Linked DNA regions of Mus musculus: regions 1, 2 and 3 are each reported to be linked to region 4. Evidence: microRNA targets listed by miRTarBase, many of them from high-throughput screens and not tested one by one. Region 4 holds a microRNA gene; each other region holds the end of a gene's coding sequence. Distances are between the middles of the regions.
Evidence for each region. Region 4 holds the annotated microRNA mmu-miR-1b-5p (UACAUACUUCUUUACAUUCCA, at 1,311-1,331, shown strand). A microRNA usually pairs through its seed, bases 2 to 8, with sites in the 3' UTR of a target mRNA and lowers its output. Matches are read on the target gene's strand: a 7mer-m8 pairs with bases 2 to 8, a 7mer-A1 pairs with bases 2 to 7 and ends in A, and an 8mer does both.

Region 1 (4,168 bases), not on the chromosome of region 4:
ACAGAAATCTGTGTTTTAGTGTCATCTTATTATCCCTACCTTATTTCTTGGCCTCTCTGTGCTCTTGACTTTAATTCAGGGTAAGTAGCCCTTGATCCCCTTCCCCTCTTCAGACACGGGCTTCCACATTGGCTACCCGACGCCTGCTTCTGGAGACTCCTCTGTTGAGTACCTGCCTTTGCAGTGGTTGCCCCAAAGCTGTAGTGAGACAGTGACATGGTTGCCTGAGACTGTGCTGTAAGCAGAACATGTGCGGATGAAGGTTTCCTTACTCCAGACTGGAGGAGATGGGTCAACCATAGTTCTTCATATATGGCGGATACTGTTTATATTGCAGACAGCAGTGACAGAAAAATTATGATCGATGCTTATTTTATTTCAGTGGAAGACACAATTCCATGAATCAGAAGACAACAAATGCCAAGAAAGGACCAGTTAAAAAGGTTCCAAGATCAAACCATCTTCCAAAACTCAACCCGTGACTCCAGAGCTGGGCAGACTTCTATTTTTTCCATCTTTTTCGTCATTCAGTGTCTTCAGTTTAGGAAGCTAATGTTCAATACATTCCTCAGGGGAGGAAATAGATGAGGGAGAGCGGCTTCTCTCACTCTTTCAAAAGTTGATTCTTCTGCCTGCATAAAAGTCATGGGTCTCCAGCAACCCTAAATATCCAGTACATGTGCTTATAGTTCTTACAATACCTTAGAAGGGACCCGAAGGTTGACATCCTTCTGGCACTCTCAGTAGAGTGTTTCTGATATTCTCTGATTGCACTTTTATGTTGTATTTGGTTTCTAAATTGACCATTAGTTAGAACTATATATTGTTTTATATATTATATATAATATCTCCACCTTTTTGTTATTTTAAATTGCATCATGCTCAGTTCAACTTTCTAAAATCAAGGTTTCAACATATTCCCAGATCACATGCATATGAAAGTTTCAGGAAAATATTATCAATAACTTCAGCCATGCACTGCATTGTTCTTGCCCCCATCCCCCCCCCCCCCGCCAGTAACCTTGAGGATTTAGGGTTATCCTATCACCTCATGTTTATTTCCTACATCTAGAAAAATGGCTGTGCTAAACTGTATAATTTATAAAATTTCTAGAAATTCAGTCACAGGGGTCTGCCACTGTGTATGTGGCATTAAAGTCATTTTGTGACATTTACTAATTCACAAAAATGGTCTAGTTTTTGGACCAAACTTTGCAGGAGTTTGGAATACTGGAGACTAGAAGGAAATAGAGGGAGAATAAGAAATTGTTTTTAGGACCTATGAACTTTATTGAATTTTATTCATGTTTAGGGTGTTTTGTGACTCGAATGTTTTTTCTAATTGTAGTAGAGATCAGGAAGATTCATATAACTTACCCATTTAAATGAGAGAAATTATTGGAATTTAAATTTCTTGTGCATGTTAAGCAAGTGGTGTTTTAACCTATATCTGATGAAAAAAGTCATTTGTTTCCTTTTATATGTAATGTGCCTTTTACACCTGAGGGGTTTATGTGTATGTATGTATGTGTGTATGTATGTATGTATGTATGTATGTATGTATTATGCATAATATGTACATGTATGTGTAGATAATAGAACCATAATGCTGCACTCATGAACTTGCAGTAGCTATGGTTGCCTGCACAAAACCTGCTCAAGATCAAGCTAGCCAACATTCCAGCTCCAGTGGCAGAGGGACACATGGGCCTCACCCCTAGCTGAGAAGCTGGTGACAGCAAGGTCTGCTAGGAGAGGGAGAGTCCGTCCTTTTAAGGGTGTGGTCCCTGGTAGGTTCAGAATGATCCAGTAGATGGCCCCACGGCTATGTATTTATGGACAGCACTAACTGGCTTCAATGGAATAGATGTGTGTGTGAATAAACATATATATGGATGTATATGTGTGTATGTATACACACGTATTTAAAGATATGCTGTTGGGAAGGGGTTATGGGATCTTGGAATTGGTGTGTGTATGAAATAAATACATTGTATACATGTGTGAAATTATCGAAGAATAAAATATTTTAATAAAATGGAATATTGACATGATAGGGCTTTAATGTACATATTTTCTCTTTCTTTATTTCTCTTCCAAGTTTGTTTCTAAAGACTGATTTTTCTCCTGGCTTTGGGTCTCCCATTCTGCTTCATATATCTATACAGTTTTTATTGGATGTTGAGTATCAATAATATCATATTGCAGATTGCAATATTCCTATGAGCATTTAAATTGCTTACAGTTCTATTTAACGCCTCAGACTTCCATTGGAGTGAGTAAACCTGCCAAGAGTGAGGTTGTTAAGATATAGCTAGCCTGAGGCCCCAGTGAAGTTACCGTGAATGACACAAAGGACACATAGCTCTGCTTGGCCCAGACCTGGATGCCTGGAGACCTGTAGGCACTCTGCTTCACCATTTTGCAATTTATGCCTTGGTGTCCTGTAGGGGCTCGTGGTATCCTGTGCAGACTTGGGGTTCTGTTTTTGGACAGGCCTTTGTGTTCACCATCAGCCTCTTCCACCAGCTTCTGTCTCCTCTAATGTGGGAAACGGACCTGTTACCATGGTACTTCCTTCTCTGAAGTCTGTGATGTGTATAGGGGAGGAGCTAAGGAGGCAACTGGACTTGCTGCCTTCTCAAGGATCCCCTCTTACACCTGCAAACAACTCTTTTATCTATTTTTATCTACCCTTCTATTTAGTCACAGTGAATGGCTAAATTTGGCTCTGCCACTCTTGCAAGGCCAGAACTGAAGAACACATTCACTTGATATTAAAACTATTTTTAAAGCAAAGAAAGAATATTAAAACACAAAGTATTAACAATCCATTTTGTTTCTTCAACCATTATATTTCTTTGAGTTGCACCTGGATAAAGGGGAGAGACAGGGCTTTGACTCTGTGCAAGTTCTGAAGAAAAACAAAAGTATTTGGTGATCAAACTAGTGGACTGTGGTCCAGATTGCTTTATGCTCAATGAACAGTCTCCTTTCTCGGAAGAATGCACCCGAGGCTCATGTTTCATGGACAGGAAGAACTTTGTTTACCAGTGCATAGGTCATAAACACTGAGCTGTTGTGTGTATTAGAAACACTGTCCAGGAGCACACCACAGGTACAGAATTGTATGAGATCCTATATCAAGCAGACATCCCCTTTTGTGCCTTCTCTCTGGTGGTCGTTGTATGTTTGTTTGTTTTTGTCTTTGTCTTGAGACTGTGTCATGTTATGTAGCTTAAAATTGGACACATCTAGGAAGAGGGAACCCCTGGTTGAACAGTCTCTATCAGATTATCTTGTTGGGAGTGTCTGCAGGGTACTTTCTGGATAGCCAGTTTGTAGATGTGGGCCTAGTCCACCATTGGTCATTGCCAAACCTAGGCAGTCCTGGGCTGTGTAAGGAATGTTGCTGAGCAAGCCAGAGAGCCACATCTCTTCATGGTCTCGACTTCAGGCTCTAGCCCCGGCTTCTCTCAATGGTAGCCTCTGACATGGGAATGTAAACTAAATAAACCCTCCCCTCTCCTAAATTTGTTAGTGTTCTATCATAGCAGAAGAAAAGTAAGCTAGAACTCCTAGCCAGAAACTTGCCATCCTCCTGCCTTAGCTTCTGAAGTGCTGGCACCAAAGACATGTACCACCATGCCAGACCAATAAGACATCTATGTCATTTCTAGGCCTGGCCTACAAAAGCACACAAGATCATCATTCTTGGTTGTGCCTCCTCCCCACCCTGATCTTCTTTGCTGGTTTTGGATATATTATAAGCACAACAACGGGTTTAATGTGCTTCTTTTCTATTTATATCCTCTGCTTCTGTGACTGATTTCCCCCCCCACATCCGCCCCTGATTTCTGATCTCATTTTCTGTCCACTATATCATTTTATGAATGTCATGCATTACATTGCTGTTGATAATTTTATTGGGCTTTATCCTTGCAAGCATTTAATGTCGATGCTGGGGATCAGGCTCAGGTCCTCAGGCAGGCAAGAACTTTCCGGACTGAGCCTTTTCTCCAGCCCCCTGCTACTATATAGATGGAATTATATTAGCCAAATAAATAAAATAAAACTGTATTACAGTGATTTAAAAAAGGGGTCTAAAGGTACCTTTTGACATCCACGTGTGTTTAGAGAATGAGCCATGGAAGTTCTGATTGCCTGA
Region 2 (4,168 bases), 21 Mb from region 4:
AGCAGAGCAGAGACACTCACCCCAAGGCTGAGTCTAGAACTTTAGCACCTCAGAGTTTGCCTGTGTTGGTTATGTTTAAAGTCTTTCTCTAATAACTTGTCTTTGGTGTTTGTTTTTTAATACCAGAATTGTTTGAAATTGTATGTCAGGCAACTAGCCTGTCAGATGTCATTGATGGGATTGGGAAGAGTATAGTCTCTGTATTTCTTCCTCCTGTCATTTGGGAAGTTTCTATGGATTGTGGCAAAATTAAAAGTAAAGCACGGACAGTAACCAGTTAATCATCACTGAGAGTTCAGTAGGTTTCTCCTAACACTTTGTTCTTGTCACCAAAGCATGTTCTGGTTATTGTTAAGTTTCAGGCTCTTCTCACTGCTAGATTTACATATTTCAATAATTTGTTCTTCAATTTTCCCCAATCTTAGTTTCAGGCATCCTCCAAGAAAGGTATCAGTCGACTGGATAAACAGATGAGAAAGTTCACAGATATCAGGAAAAAAAGCAGATCTGCACATGCAGTGAAAATCAGCATCGAGGGCAATAAAATGCCATTGTGATCTTGCCTGGGACGTGTCCCCATCTCTAAAAGAAAGAAATGCACAGTGGACTATGGAGAAAGAAGATAATTTTAAATGTCTTAGTGTGTCTCTAAATGGTTCGATTTGTATCATCTGTTGTTGTAGGACTAACATTTCTCTCCGTTGTATTTAAGACCAGTTGTCTGCTTTGTACAGAAGAGTACTTACTACTCCTGCTTCTATCAACTGTACGTAATAAAATTTCATTATGGTTTTGGGGGGTTGTCTCATCATTGTCTTAGACACTATTCTCTGTGAGATCAAAAGCCAGTCCGTTTCAGTGTGTAAGTATGATATGAGGAATTTGTCTGGCCTTTGTTCCTGGCTCCTGACAAGGAATATCTCAAACCTTTACAATTCTTGAACTATCTTTGTTATACTCTTGATTTGGCACATCGTAGGGCCCTAAGTTCGCTCTAAGACTGGTCAGCAGAAATATGCTTGACCTAGTCGTATTGCCTGTTTGATTAACCAGCCATACCTTTGTATTGAAGCTATAGTAAAGAAAAGAACTCTGGACAAGTCAGGTGCCTTGCACACCTATAATCCCAGCATTTTGGAGACTGATGTTGAAATAAGAGGGTCATGAGTTTGAGGCTAGCCTGGATTACATGGCAAGACTCTTAACTGCTCTGGATACTGCAACTATGTTGATGTGCAAAGAGAACAAAGGCACAGAAGCTCTGCACCACCCTCCATACTACTCCTGAATCTTCATTGACCTGGTTGGCTTAATTTGTATCTTTTCTAATAAGATCAGTTATAAGTATAACCTTTTATTGAAAGACATAGTGCTTTTCCAAGTTCTATGAGTCATTCAGCAGGTTTTTAAACCAAGAAATTCTTGGGAACTTGCCTGGAAGTTTATAGCTACCCTGGAATTTTCATGGTCTAAAGATATCACTTGCAGTCTATGTCTGAAGTTGGGACAGTCTTGTGGAGGAAATCTGATCCCTAGAACTGTCAATTCTTACACTAACACCGAGCATTTGGTATCAGAATTGTGTTGTATACCACTGTATATGCCTATAATCTCAGCACTTTGGAGGCAGAGGCAGGAATTTTGGGAGCTCTTCCAACAATAACTTTGAGTTACTCAAAGACTGTTCAAATAAAGATGGTATCTCAGTAGAGTTGGAAATACAACAAGCATACTTTTTATTTCTCTTGTTAGAGATGCTTTGTTTGTTTAAATCTGAAGAGTTAAGCTGTGGGGAGAAAAAGTTAAGAAAATACAGATATAATTGAAAATTAGTTACATATAGCAATTGGACAAATAGAAAAAGGAGAAACTATTTATAGTTTCTTACTTGGTTTTGAGAATTCTTAATCATGAGAGATTTCTATAGATCAAGAAAGTTTTATCAGTAACTCATTCATTACTTAAGTCCTCTTCTAGTACAAACTGGAGCCTTGATTTAAAAAAATAGATTATTATTGGCCACAATGGCCTTTGGACAATTGAAGGAATGTGGACTTCATGGACTAGAACACTCCATAAGAACCTCTCAAGCCTGGTGTGGTGACACACACCTTTAATCTCAGCATTTGGGAGGGAGAAGAAGGCTGACCTCTGAGTTCATGACCAGCCTGGCCTACAGAGTGAGTTCCAGGACAGCCAGGGCTACACAGAGAAACCCTGTCTTTTAAAAAGAGAGAGAGAAAAAAGAAAAGAGCCTCATAAAGCCTCATTAAAGTACACTCAGCATGCAAGAGCAAATGGAGTGTGAAGCAGAAACCTACAGAGCCAACAGTTACAGACTAGGTGGTGGCAAAAACTACCTCTGGCTTTGTTTAATTTCATTAACTAAAAACAATAAAAGCATCTAATGAATTCAAAACAGTTCTGACATGTAAAGCAAGTTTTTAAGAGTTATTTTGGTGTCTTGGGATGAGCTTCACGTAACACCATGTTAATGGGAGTAAATATAACCAGCAGGTGATAAGCCCTTGATTGAAGGAGATGGTTCTGCACTACTTGAAGGGAAAGATGCTAATTTCTTTATAAATTACCTTTGCTGTGTGGATTGGGGGGGGGGGGTCCCCAAGCTTGACCCATTCATTGCCTTCATAGTTTCCATTTACTATAGTTTCTAGAACACTAAAATTAGCTCCCATTTACCCTTCAATATTTTTCAGTGTGCCACATTTTATATTCTATATCCAAGATTTCTTTTGCAGAGCATGTGAGTATAGTTTATCAAGAACCTTTGTTCTCAAGCTCCATATCTAAGCATATTTCTCTTAAAAACATGTTTTGTGGCGGGGCAGTGCACATCTTTAATGCCTGCATTCGGGAAGCAGAGGCAGGTGGATCTCTTGAGTTTGAGGCCATCCTGCTTTGATTGCATTTTAGGTCAGCAAGAGCTACACAGAGAAACCCTGTCTGAGAATAGAAACAACCCATGGTTTTTAGGGGCTAGATCATACAGCTCTGTTGGTAGAGTGCTTGCCTAGCACGCACTAAGTCTGGGTTCCATCCCCAGTACCACAAATATCTGGCCTGTCACCTTGCCAACCTGGCCTGGCTACATGGCAAGAACAAAGCCAGCCTGGGCTACTTGACAGTTCGTCTCAAGATTGGCCACATTAACTTTGACCTCTTGTATGGAATGCTGGGTAGTCACTTTTTGGTTTGGGTTGTTTTTTGGTTTGTTTGTAAAATGCTTTAATTTTGGCAAAAGATTTGTATCTTTACCACTTTTAACCATACAGCTTAGGTGCATTGACTGGGTTCACAGTGGTATGAGCCACCTTCATCTTACAAACTTTAGCTGTACTGGGCACAGTAGTGCACGTTTTTAATCCCAGCACTAAGCAGACAGAAGCAGGACAATTTCAGAGTTCAAAGTCATCCTAGTCTTTATAGAGAGTTCCAGACCAGTTAAGACTTGCATAGATCCTGCCTCAAACAACAAACACCTTAGCTCCTTCCACCAGCTCTTGACAAGTTCATTCTGCTTTCTGCCTCTGATTTAGACTATTCTAGGAACCTAGAATTTAATTTATGGGGGGAGGGGAACCATGGTATGCATATGGAAAATCACAATTTTATGGAGTTCTTGCCTTCGACCTTTATTTACTTGGATTCTAAGGATGAGACAGGTTGCAAGACTTTAGTGGCAAGGATTTTGACCATTTGAGCTATCTCACCAGCCTGTTTCTATGTATAGGTGATAATGCTTTGCCTTGTGCTTTTTTAAGTGACTTTTGTAACTTTGGCCCTACTGTTAAGTCTGATCCATTTGAGATAATTTTATGTTGTAGAAAGTTTACTTTTATTTCTGTACATCTTTGTTGAAAGACTGACCCTTACTGCTCTTGGATCCCTTATCAAAACGTATCTGACAGTATGAGGGTTTTCTTGTATATTTTGCTCCAGACTTTTAGTTCATTTTGTTTTGTTTTATCCTCATTATCCTGTTTTTACTTCAGGAACTTTATAGTAAAATTTGAAGTCAAGTAATATGATTTATTCACTCCAGTATTGTTTTGGTTGTTGGGATTCCTTGAAATGAAGGGGAAAGTGTGTATGAATATGTACGTGCCTGCCCCACAGCTGCATGTGGACGTCAGAAGACAACTTTCAG
Region 3 (4,168 bases), not on the chromosome of region 4:
TCTGTGAAAGCCATTTCAAAGAATGTCCACGCAGTGTCAGTTGAAAAATGTTCTGAGAACGGAATGATCAATATAGCTGAGAATCTGGTGATGTGTGGCCTGGCAGAAAACCTCACTTCTAAAAGGAAAAGTGCTTCCACTAAAGGTACTTTCTTAAGCGTAATACACAGCAGAGGTCGTTTTGATTGTCTCTCTCCTCACGGCTTCAGTCCCCACCCTCTCCTCCTCCTCTGCACTCCTGTGGCAATTCAGCCTGACCTGACCCAAGGTCAGGGACACTGGTGCTGTGGGAGTCGAGACTGAGAGCTTTGGAATGGTTGCAACTGTGCCTGTGCCTTTCTTCGGGTTCTCTTTGATCTGAGCAACAGGAGAAGTCTTAGAAGACCTAAGACATCATAGAAGACCTAATCTTTAGATGGAGTGCTGGTCTGAGAGTCCAGGACACACACAGCACATGACTGGGTGGGTGATGTCCTGGGGAGTTGACACTTAGACCCCGACACACAGGTGCACGCGGGCTCCCTCACTGCCATGACCTAGGCCTGTTTTGTTTGTTTTTGCTTCTAGAGATACCACACAGCAGAGACTGCTGTTGCACAGAGTTACAGAAACAGGTAGGTGCAGCTCCTACATGAAGCCACACGCTGCCTCACATTGAGAGAGAAATCATACTGTCTCCTTTGCATCCACAGATTGAGAAACACGAACAGATTCTCCTCTTCCTCTTAAACAATCCAACCAACCAAAGTAAATTCACAGAGATGAAAAAGCTGCTGAGAAGCTAAGTAAGTTTCCCGTTTCCCCTTCTGTGATGCACCCGACTCCAGGTGCTTATGTGAAGCCGTTTCTTACTGTTTGATTTGAAATTGCTCACATCGTCAGTATGTGAAGAGACTTGTAAAGATGGTCATGAGGTGAAGCTTAGCCTCACACTGTGTCCAGACTTGACGTCTTCTCAGGCCTCACTGACTCTGTCTGCTGCAGTAGCTTTAGTCCTGAGTCTGGGCAAGGATAGAAGATCGAGGAAGGTAGGCACTCTGTCACCTGTGACACTGGAGCAGGCTGTGCTGTGCCACTGTTCAGAGAGAGTGTGCTGGGCCCATCCCAGTAGTTCCCAACCGTGTCTTACTGTCAGGATCCCCGCAAGAACAGGGGCCATCAGAAAGTAGTCATGGCCAGCAGCCAACTGGAACTTGTGGACAAAATGAGATTACCCCACTTATTCACCCCTGTGTGTGTGCTGGAGGGGTGGGGTTGGTGCAGTGTCAGCCCAGAGCTGGCTCTTCCATGCTCCTGCAGCAGCTCCTGGGATTCCCTGGGCTGTCGCTCCTCTGGAACAGCAGTGCTGACTGAGTGCGCACCTCTGCTGAGTTTGTCCCTAAGGAAGCTAGCACCTAAGCTGACACCCTGAGCAACAGTTCCTTCCCATTGTCGTGCCTTAGCATCTCTATACTTGATTTCTGTTTTGTGTGCTTGAGCTTAAGATCTTGAATTTAATGAAGATTTTAACTAGACCGACTGAAGAGCCTGCAATGACACAGGCTTCTGGGATTAGCCCAGCTAATTAATCATTTGTACTTTGGTCTATTCATCTGTGTAGTGAACTCTCCTCAGAGAGATACTGAGAGTGCTCATATAATTTAAGATAAGGCTGCCATTTTCAATTGTTTCTAGAAAATTAGAAAGCCTAGAACGGTAAATGTTTGAATTTAAAACATAACACACGCTAGTTTCCCCCACACAGCACTGTGTACGGGGCTGGGCCTCACATTGCACAGTCCTCACAGCATCCTTGAAGCAGAAGTGCAGGGCAAGGTGTGTGCTGTCACAATCCCAGCACTGGGAAGTGGAGACTGTGGCTCAGCAACTGCTGGCCTAACTTGCTCGTCAGTTCCAGGCCATTGAGAGACTCATGTTGCATAGTAAAACGGGAGGTGGGAACAATCTGAGGAAGAATGGCACACACCTGTGGGCAGAGCTGAGTGCACCTTGCTCCCTATCCATATACTACACACATTTGTAGCTCCCTGCCCCCACCCCCACATGTAGTAGAATGACCTTATTGTCTGATGAGGAAGCAGAGGCTCACGGTGTCCATGCAGGCTCTTGGTGTGCACCCCACACCTCACCCCCTCTTGCAGGCTGGAGCTTACAGCTGACAGGGGAGGAGCTGTCCCAGCTTCTGGGTATGCCCTGGGCTACAGCCTCTTTCTCGGTTAGTCTGGACCTGCAGGGCATGGAATGAGGAGATAACATAGGTACTCAGGCATTCTCTTCTCATTTGGGAGGAAAATAAAACTGGATATTTATTCTCACCTTACTTAATCTACTTCCAGATATATGTGTTCCAAATGTTAAGGCTTTTATAACTACTGTGTTGTGTGGTTTTCGTTAGTAGTTATCAGCCAGGTATTAGTCAGCCTGCAGTGCTGTCTTGGGGATTTGAGGCGTGTGAGATGTGGAGTTAAGATAGCTTGGTCTAATAAGACCCTGTCTAAAACCATATGTACATAACAAAGGTGTTGCTGCATTATAAATTTTGTAAATAGAGGTGCTAACATTGTTCTTAAAGGGATGACTAGATAAGTTAAAATGAAACTTGTTTTTATATTTGGAAAGAGCTACAATAGCTGCATTTTATATTTGTAGAGAATATAATTCACTCTGATTAATGCCAGTATCGATAAAAATTAAGCACTGTTATGATGCTGTTTAATTTTTCTCTGCCACGTATAATCTGAATGTGTGTAATTTAGTTTATCTGGCTTGCCTGTACTTAGAACTGAAGTTAAGGGCCATAGTGATTCTGTGTAAACCATAATGATGGCTGGTTTTTCTCTTTCAGAAACATCATCTCTTGGAAATAAACACTGGGAAGAAAGAGACAGCAAACGCCAGACCTGAGAAAGAATTGTGTGTGTGTTTTGTTCACTAGAATTGCTGCTTCCTCCTCTTTCCTTAGTGACTTTTAGCCTCTCCGCTGTGCTTGCTTACTTTGTTCTGTCGGGTTTGCTGCCCTCTCCCCGATTCTTTCCACGAAATACATGAATCTTACAGAAGAGATTCATGTATGAGCTAGGCGCGGTGGTGCACACCTGTAATCCCAGCCATGAGCAGCATGAGGCAAGACCTCAGGCTCAAAGCCAGCAAGGGCCTAGTTAGATGCTTTCTCATCACAAACAAAACCAAAAGGACATCAAGATTCAAAATGTATGAGACGACTAGGAAAGACTATGAGGTACCTTCTGCTAAGAGTGTGTGTGTGTGTGTGTGTGTGTGTGTGTGTATGTGTGTGTGTGTGTGTATGTATTTGCTCTACTGAGTATAGAAGCTCGAGCCTCTCATGTACGAGGCAAGCTCTCCTCTTCCTCTGAGCTACAGTCCCAGCTCTAGCATCTCTTTGTCTTGACAGTGCTGAAGAGGAGGAGGCTAGGTGTTGCATGGATAGGTGTGGTCGGTAGCTGGGTCTTAGCACTGTTGGTACGTTCCAGGCCTTTCTTTGCCAGTGGGACGCTCCCTGTCATCTGCTGCCTCGTCCCGATGCGCTCTCTTTGGTTCCTTGCTTCTGGGTGGCATGTTTTCCTGGGTAACTTGTGGCTCACTCCAAGGATGTGCACTGCTTCTCTCAGCTGTGCTTGGATGGCTTGGCTTTTCATCTTGGATCATAGTGTGTCCACAAGCTCCAGCCTTGACACTAGGAGGACTCCAGAGGGCCTCCTGGGATTTTTTTTCCCACTAGTCTGTAGCCATTCAGACTTATGCTCTAGAAATAATTCACTGTCTTCTCAAACACAAATTCAGTCATCAATTTAAAAATGGAGAGCACATTTGTCATACCTCATGATCAGAGATTGTCCTAACCGTAGCCATGTGCAGCAGAGTGTGCCTTCCTGACAGCCCAGTAGTCTCTCATACTTGTCCCACAGTTTCAGTGCCATGTGGCCCTGTGGTAACCTAATACGACATCATCAACTCAACGTTGATAAGTAAAACATTGACGTGGGTGGGTTTGTTTTGTTTTCCTGTTACTGGCAGTGTGAGTCAGCTCCTCTGTTGAGTCGACCTTCTCATGTAAAAAGTTGCTTGGATGTTGATGTGTCTCAGACAGTTAAGTTTGTCCTGATTCAGGCAATAAAGCCACTTGTTTTCACCTTGCCCTTCTGTGCTT
Region 4 (4,168 bases):
TTCTTTGCATCATTTTTTCCAAATAGTGAAACAGGTATTTGGTTGCTTAAACTTAAGTGCTGAAGATAGCACTTGCCTGGTTCTATTTTAGTAGGTCCCTGGCAGCCAGTCAGCAAGTGCAGTTGCTCAAGTGTGCTTTTGGATCATTGAGTTTCGTGTACTGGCCATATCAGGACAAGGAGAGGCCATGGGAAAAAATAGTCCAGCATCTGATAGTGTCAGCATCTGTTATCCCTGTCAGGGTGACAGTTGAAGTGTTTGAGTAATAGCAGTGTCAGCAGATGCCCAGAGTTTAACATGTACTCACTTCAAAAGGGACAGCTGATCTAAGTGCTGGATGTGACATTTCAAGTGATTCAAAACACTCCTAGACAAAAGCTGAACTTGGAAGCAACAAAATCAGTTTTCAGTTTTATTTTATAAATGAATAGCTAATATTCTCTAAGGATTGTAACAAATTATTAGTTGTGAAAATGTTTCTTAAAGAATTATGAAAACCTTTCAGACCTGTGGAATAACTAATGTAGCTGTTCATAACTCATTGTGAGAAAAACAATGTCATTTGATATAAGCAAGGACAATACAGACTCAGGTTTTTGACAGTTTGTTGCCAATATATCCTGTTTACATTTTAGTTGTGGCCTAGGGTTTTGCCATTTTTATCATTCTTTTTCATGCTGTAAGTATTAACTGCACTTAAAGTACAGATTGGGTTAAGAACTGACAAGCTGGAAAAGGACAAAAGCCAGTTTTCATGTGTGCAGTATAATTTTACTTAAAAGATAGTCTTTAAACATTATAGTTTCAATAGCTGTCAGAAAAGAAAATAATGAAACCAAAATTTTTGGCTTACGAGATCCTCTGATTTTAATAGGTTATACATTTTGCCACATGTGAAGAATAGCTATTATATGAGTAAAATCAGCTTTTTGTTGCTTTATTTTTCTTATTAGATTTGTTGGTCCTGATTTGATAGATGTGAGACACTAAAATATCCAATTGTGAAGACAGATAATGGTTGATCCTGTGTCTCACTGTTTTGCGCTAGCAATACTATTTCCTCTGTAGTAGTCACATTTTAATCACGTGAGTATTCAGTGTAGAGTGTAGTATGATTTAATGTGAAAATTAAAATCCACTTCCACGGGACTTATCTCTTCAGTACAGTATAAGGGATGTTAGTTTTCCCAGTGAATGGCTGGTCCTTTTGGAATGGGGCTGTTAGTATTACAGGTGAATTCAGAGTATGGAAGTCATCCTCCTGGAAAGTTTCCTTTAGCTTCTTCTTGGCGGACATTACCTACCCAAAATACATACTTCTTTACATTCCATAGCACTGAATGTTCATATGGGTACATAAAGAAGTATGTGCTCTGAGTAGGCACTCCTGCGCCGGCCGATAGCTGTGAAAACATGAAGCAGCCCACCTCACCCAGCTGTTAGTAGGACATTTGGATTACTTTTCTGGAAGAGTAATGGATCCAGTGCGGAGATTAGCTTATCAGAGACTGAATTTTACAACAGATTTACCTGATCCCATCAATGCCACTTCTGCTTGTGGTTCTTTTAAGCACTGCCATGCTTTGCCCTGCTGCTTCTTTTCCAAGAGATGCAGTCAGCAGAGTCTTAAGTGTATTCAGAAATGTTAGCACGCTTGCTGCTCTCTCCGTCGTGCCTCCCTCTTCTTTATAATTTGCTTCTAGATCCTTTACAGACAGATGATAATCAATTTAGTCTAAATTGTTTTTATAAACCAGATACTTCTACTTAAAACTTATTGGGAGAAACAAGTTACAGTTAGCACAGGCTTTGAAATTGGATCATTTCATTGTGTGAGTGAATTAATGTTTTTAAATGGAAATTTATTTTCAAGGTAACAGATTACAAATCATTTAGCCAAGTTTTTGTTCTGTTTCTGTTTGCATTGAATGCAAATTCAAATAGTTACGTGCTTGGTTTGTATGAGATTACTTTTTAAAAATGGTTTTTAATATAATGGAAAAGTACTAAAATAACTTTTCCAAAGTCTCCATAAAAGAGGAGAAGCACTTTAGTCTGTGAATCTCTGGGTTTTACCTTGAATATTTAGCACAAGAAAAAAAAAATAATTTGGGAGTGGCCTATAGTCACTAAGACATTTTGAAGGTTAATTCAAAAGGAGACATTGAGAAGCTTTGAGATTTGGTAAAGAATAGAAAAGGGGGTGCTGGGAGGGAAGTGGGGGAATAGGATTTCTGCAGTCCATGAAGAAAGCTAGTAAGCTGCCAACGCGGGCCTCAGTCAGCAGTGCCGCTGAGACCTGCACCGTGCAGCAGCATGCGGATGTCTGTGGCCTGAGTAGTAAGCAAGGGGAGACATTTCATAACCCAAATCTTGAAGTAGCCTTTAGAAGCTATTGTGCTCTGGAGGCAGGGATGCAGGTTTACTAGAGGAGCGAGACACAATTGAAACAACTGTTTAATTGAAAACAATAAAGACCCTGTCTGTAGTGATGTAATGTTAGTGGTAGATTGTATATTTTTGAAGTTATCTGGCATGCTGTTTGAACAATGGCATTTTTAAAACTAAATTATTAATTTGAGCTTTGAAATTAGCCTATGCCCAGATATAAATTAATTTAACAATGAGAATATATATCAGTCAATATTAGATAAGCATGCAGAAAGTCAGAAGCGTCCTTCCAAGTTGGTTCTTGTGCTTGATTTACCTGTGAGCTTAGTGTCCTGCCCCACTTACAGGGAAGAGATGTAGTGACCTACAGTAACATTGCAGTCACCACATCATGACCGTTCTTTCACACTGCTGCTGTTTCAGCACTGGTTTTATAAGCTGGGTGAGGTAAGCACCCAGTGTAAGTGAACACAGAACCTTACCTTGTAAGATACATTTGAAAGACAAGTTAAATATACAAAAACAACGTAATTTTACCTTTTTCCCTTGCTCTTCTCATAGACATAGAAAGACACATATACACAGATGTGCATGCAGGCATGCAATCTCTCTCTCTCTCTCTCAAATTGAATCAACATTAGTCATATAATTTAGAATGTAATATATCAATTATATCGATATGTAGAGAAAGTTAAGTAATGGGAAGGTTGCTACAGTGGCAAAGAGAATGTACCTAGGGTTTTTGTTAGATGAAATGATTTACAAGAGGGGAAAAGTTGCAGAGGATGTTAATTTTGTAATCTAAGATTTAAAAAAACAAACAAACAAACAAAAAACCACTGCAAGCAAAACCCTAAACACACCTCACATTCTCCCAATTAGCTGCAAGCATTCACCCAGTTTCCTGTGCCCACCAGACCATACTGGGTTCTTCTGGTGCCTCAGGAAATATTCTGCATCTTTCTTGCTTTGGGATTCTTTTGGAGGAGCAGGAGTTTGAGTTTCCAGGGTTAGTGGTAGATCTGGAGTGAAGCTACCTTGTTATATCCAGAGGTCAAGTCTGCAAGCGAGGTCAGGACTCCCACATAGTCACCACAGAAGCCAACCTATGTTCTTCCCGACTCAGTGGCCACAGCCTAGGCTGCTCGAGCTTTATAGGCAGCTAAGCATTTGAAACATGCACTCCCAGGCAAACAGACTCTCTTGTGCCTCTCTCTTCCCTGACCATATTTAGTCAGCCATAGCAAAAAATAGTCTCTCAGCTGTCGATTGTCGATCTAAAAGCTGAGGAGGATTCTATCTTGCTTTCTGCCTATTGATTGTTCTTCCTGTGGTCCCAACACTGCTTTGCCATTTGTCCTGCTATTTTTTTTTTAAGTACTGCTAAATAGAGCCGTGTCTCATGTTTCCACTTACATTTCCCAGATTCTCCCCGAGCTTGTGCTGAGACTAGGAAAACCTCACGCGGCTGTCACTATACTTAGAAGCCCTGAAGAGAAAAAGGGCGGCGGGGGTGGGGTGAGGTGGGGTGGGGCAACAAATTTGCCCTGGCTGGTAGCAAGACAATCTTCAGGCAGATCTGCGGGATGTAAAAATCCCTCTGCTACCAAAATACTTCATAATCCAACTCTTTTTTGATGGTTAAAATGTTTTGTATAGTAATGTATTACACAGATGTTGGCTTGTAGGGATTTTTGTACAGTTATATTTAGGGTTACTATTTTTTAATTATTTAAAAAATAATAAATAGCACTTGAATGGAGAATAGAAATGGTGA

Region 1: the mRNA of Ccdc169 is a reported target of mmu-miR-1b-5p. Seed matches in the 3' UTR shown: 7mer-A1 at 1,517-1,523, 7mer-A1 at 1,521-1,527, 7mer-A1 at 1,533-1,539, 7mer-A1 at 1,537-1,543, 7mer-A1 at 1,541-1,547, 7mer-A1 at 1,545-1,551 and 4 more.
Region 2: miRTarBase lists Iws1 as a target of mmu-miR-1b-5p. The part of its 3' UTR that is shown has no 7-base or 8-base seed match.
Region 3: miRTarBase lists Tdrd1 as a target of mmu-miR-1b-5p. Seed matches in the 3' UTR shown: 7mer-A1 at 3,303-3,309.

What each region holds. Positions count from the first base shown.
Region 1 is chr3:55,170,883-55,175,050 of GRCm38, forward strand. Ccdc169 (coiled-coil domain containing 169) reads left to right here. Exons shown (of 8, transcript NM_177203.3): 8 at 383-2,054. The coding sequence ends at 482. Among named protein-coding and RNA genes, the nearest start is that of Sohlh2, 9.1 kb to the right of the region's middle.
Region 2 is chr18:32,096,725-32,100,892 of GRCm38, forward strand. It overlaps Iws1 (IWS1, SUPT6 interacting protein), which reads left to right. Exons shown (of 14, transcript NM_173441.3): 14 at 426-4,168. The coding sequence ends at 557. Among named protein-coding and RNA genes, the nearest start is that of Iws1, 31 kb to the left of the region's middle.
Region 3 is chr19:56,865,858-56,870,025 of GRCm38, forward strand. It overlaps Tdrd1 (tudor domain containing 1), which reads left to right. Exons shown (of 26, transcript NM_001002238.2): 23 at 1-145; 24 at 568-614; 25 at 693-785; 26 at 2,846-4,155. The coding sequence ends at 785. Among named protein-coding and RNA genes, the nearest start is that of Vwa2, 6.5 kb to the right of the region's middle.
Region 4 is chr18:10,784,176-10,788,343 of GRCm38, forward strand. It overlaps Mir1b (microRNA 1b), which reads left to right and starts at 1,271; the gene lies at 1,271-1,392. All of the region lies in intron 12 of Mib1 (mindbomb E3 ubiquitin protein ligase 1), which reads left to right. Mir133a-1hg (a long non-coding RNA gene) reads right to left here. Exons shown (of 3, transcript XR_877177.3): 1 at 3,255-4,168; 2 at 1,531-1,706. It overlaps Mir1a-2 (microRNA 1a-2), which reads right to left and starts at 1,377; the gene lies at 1,306-1,377.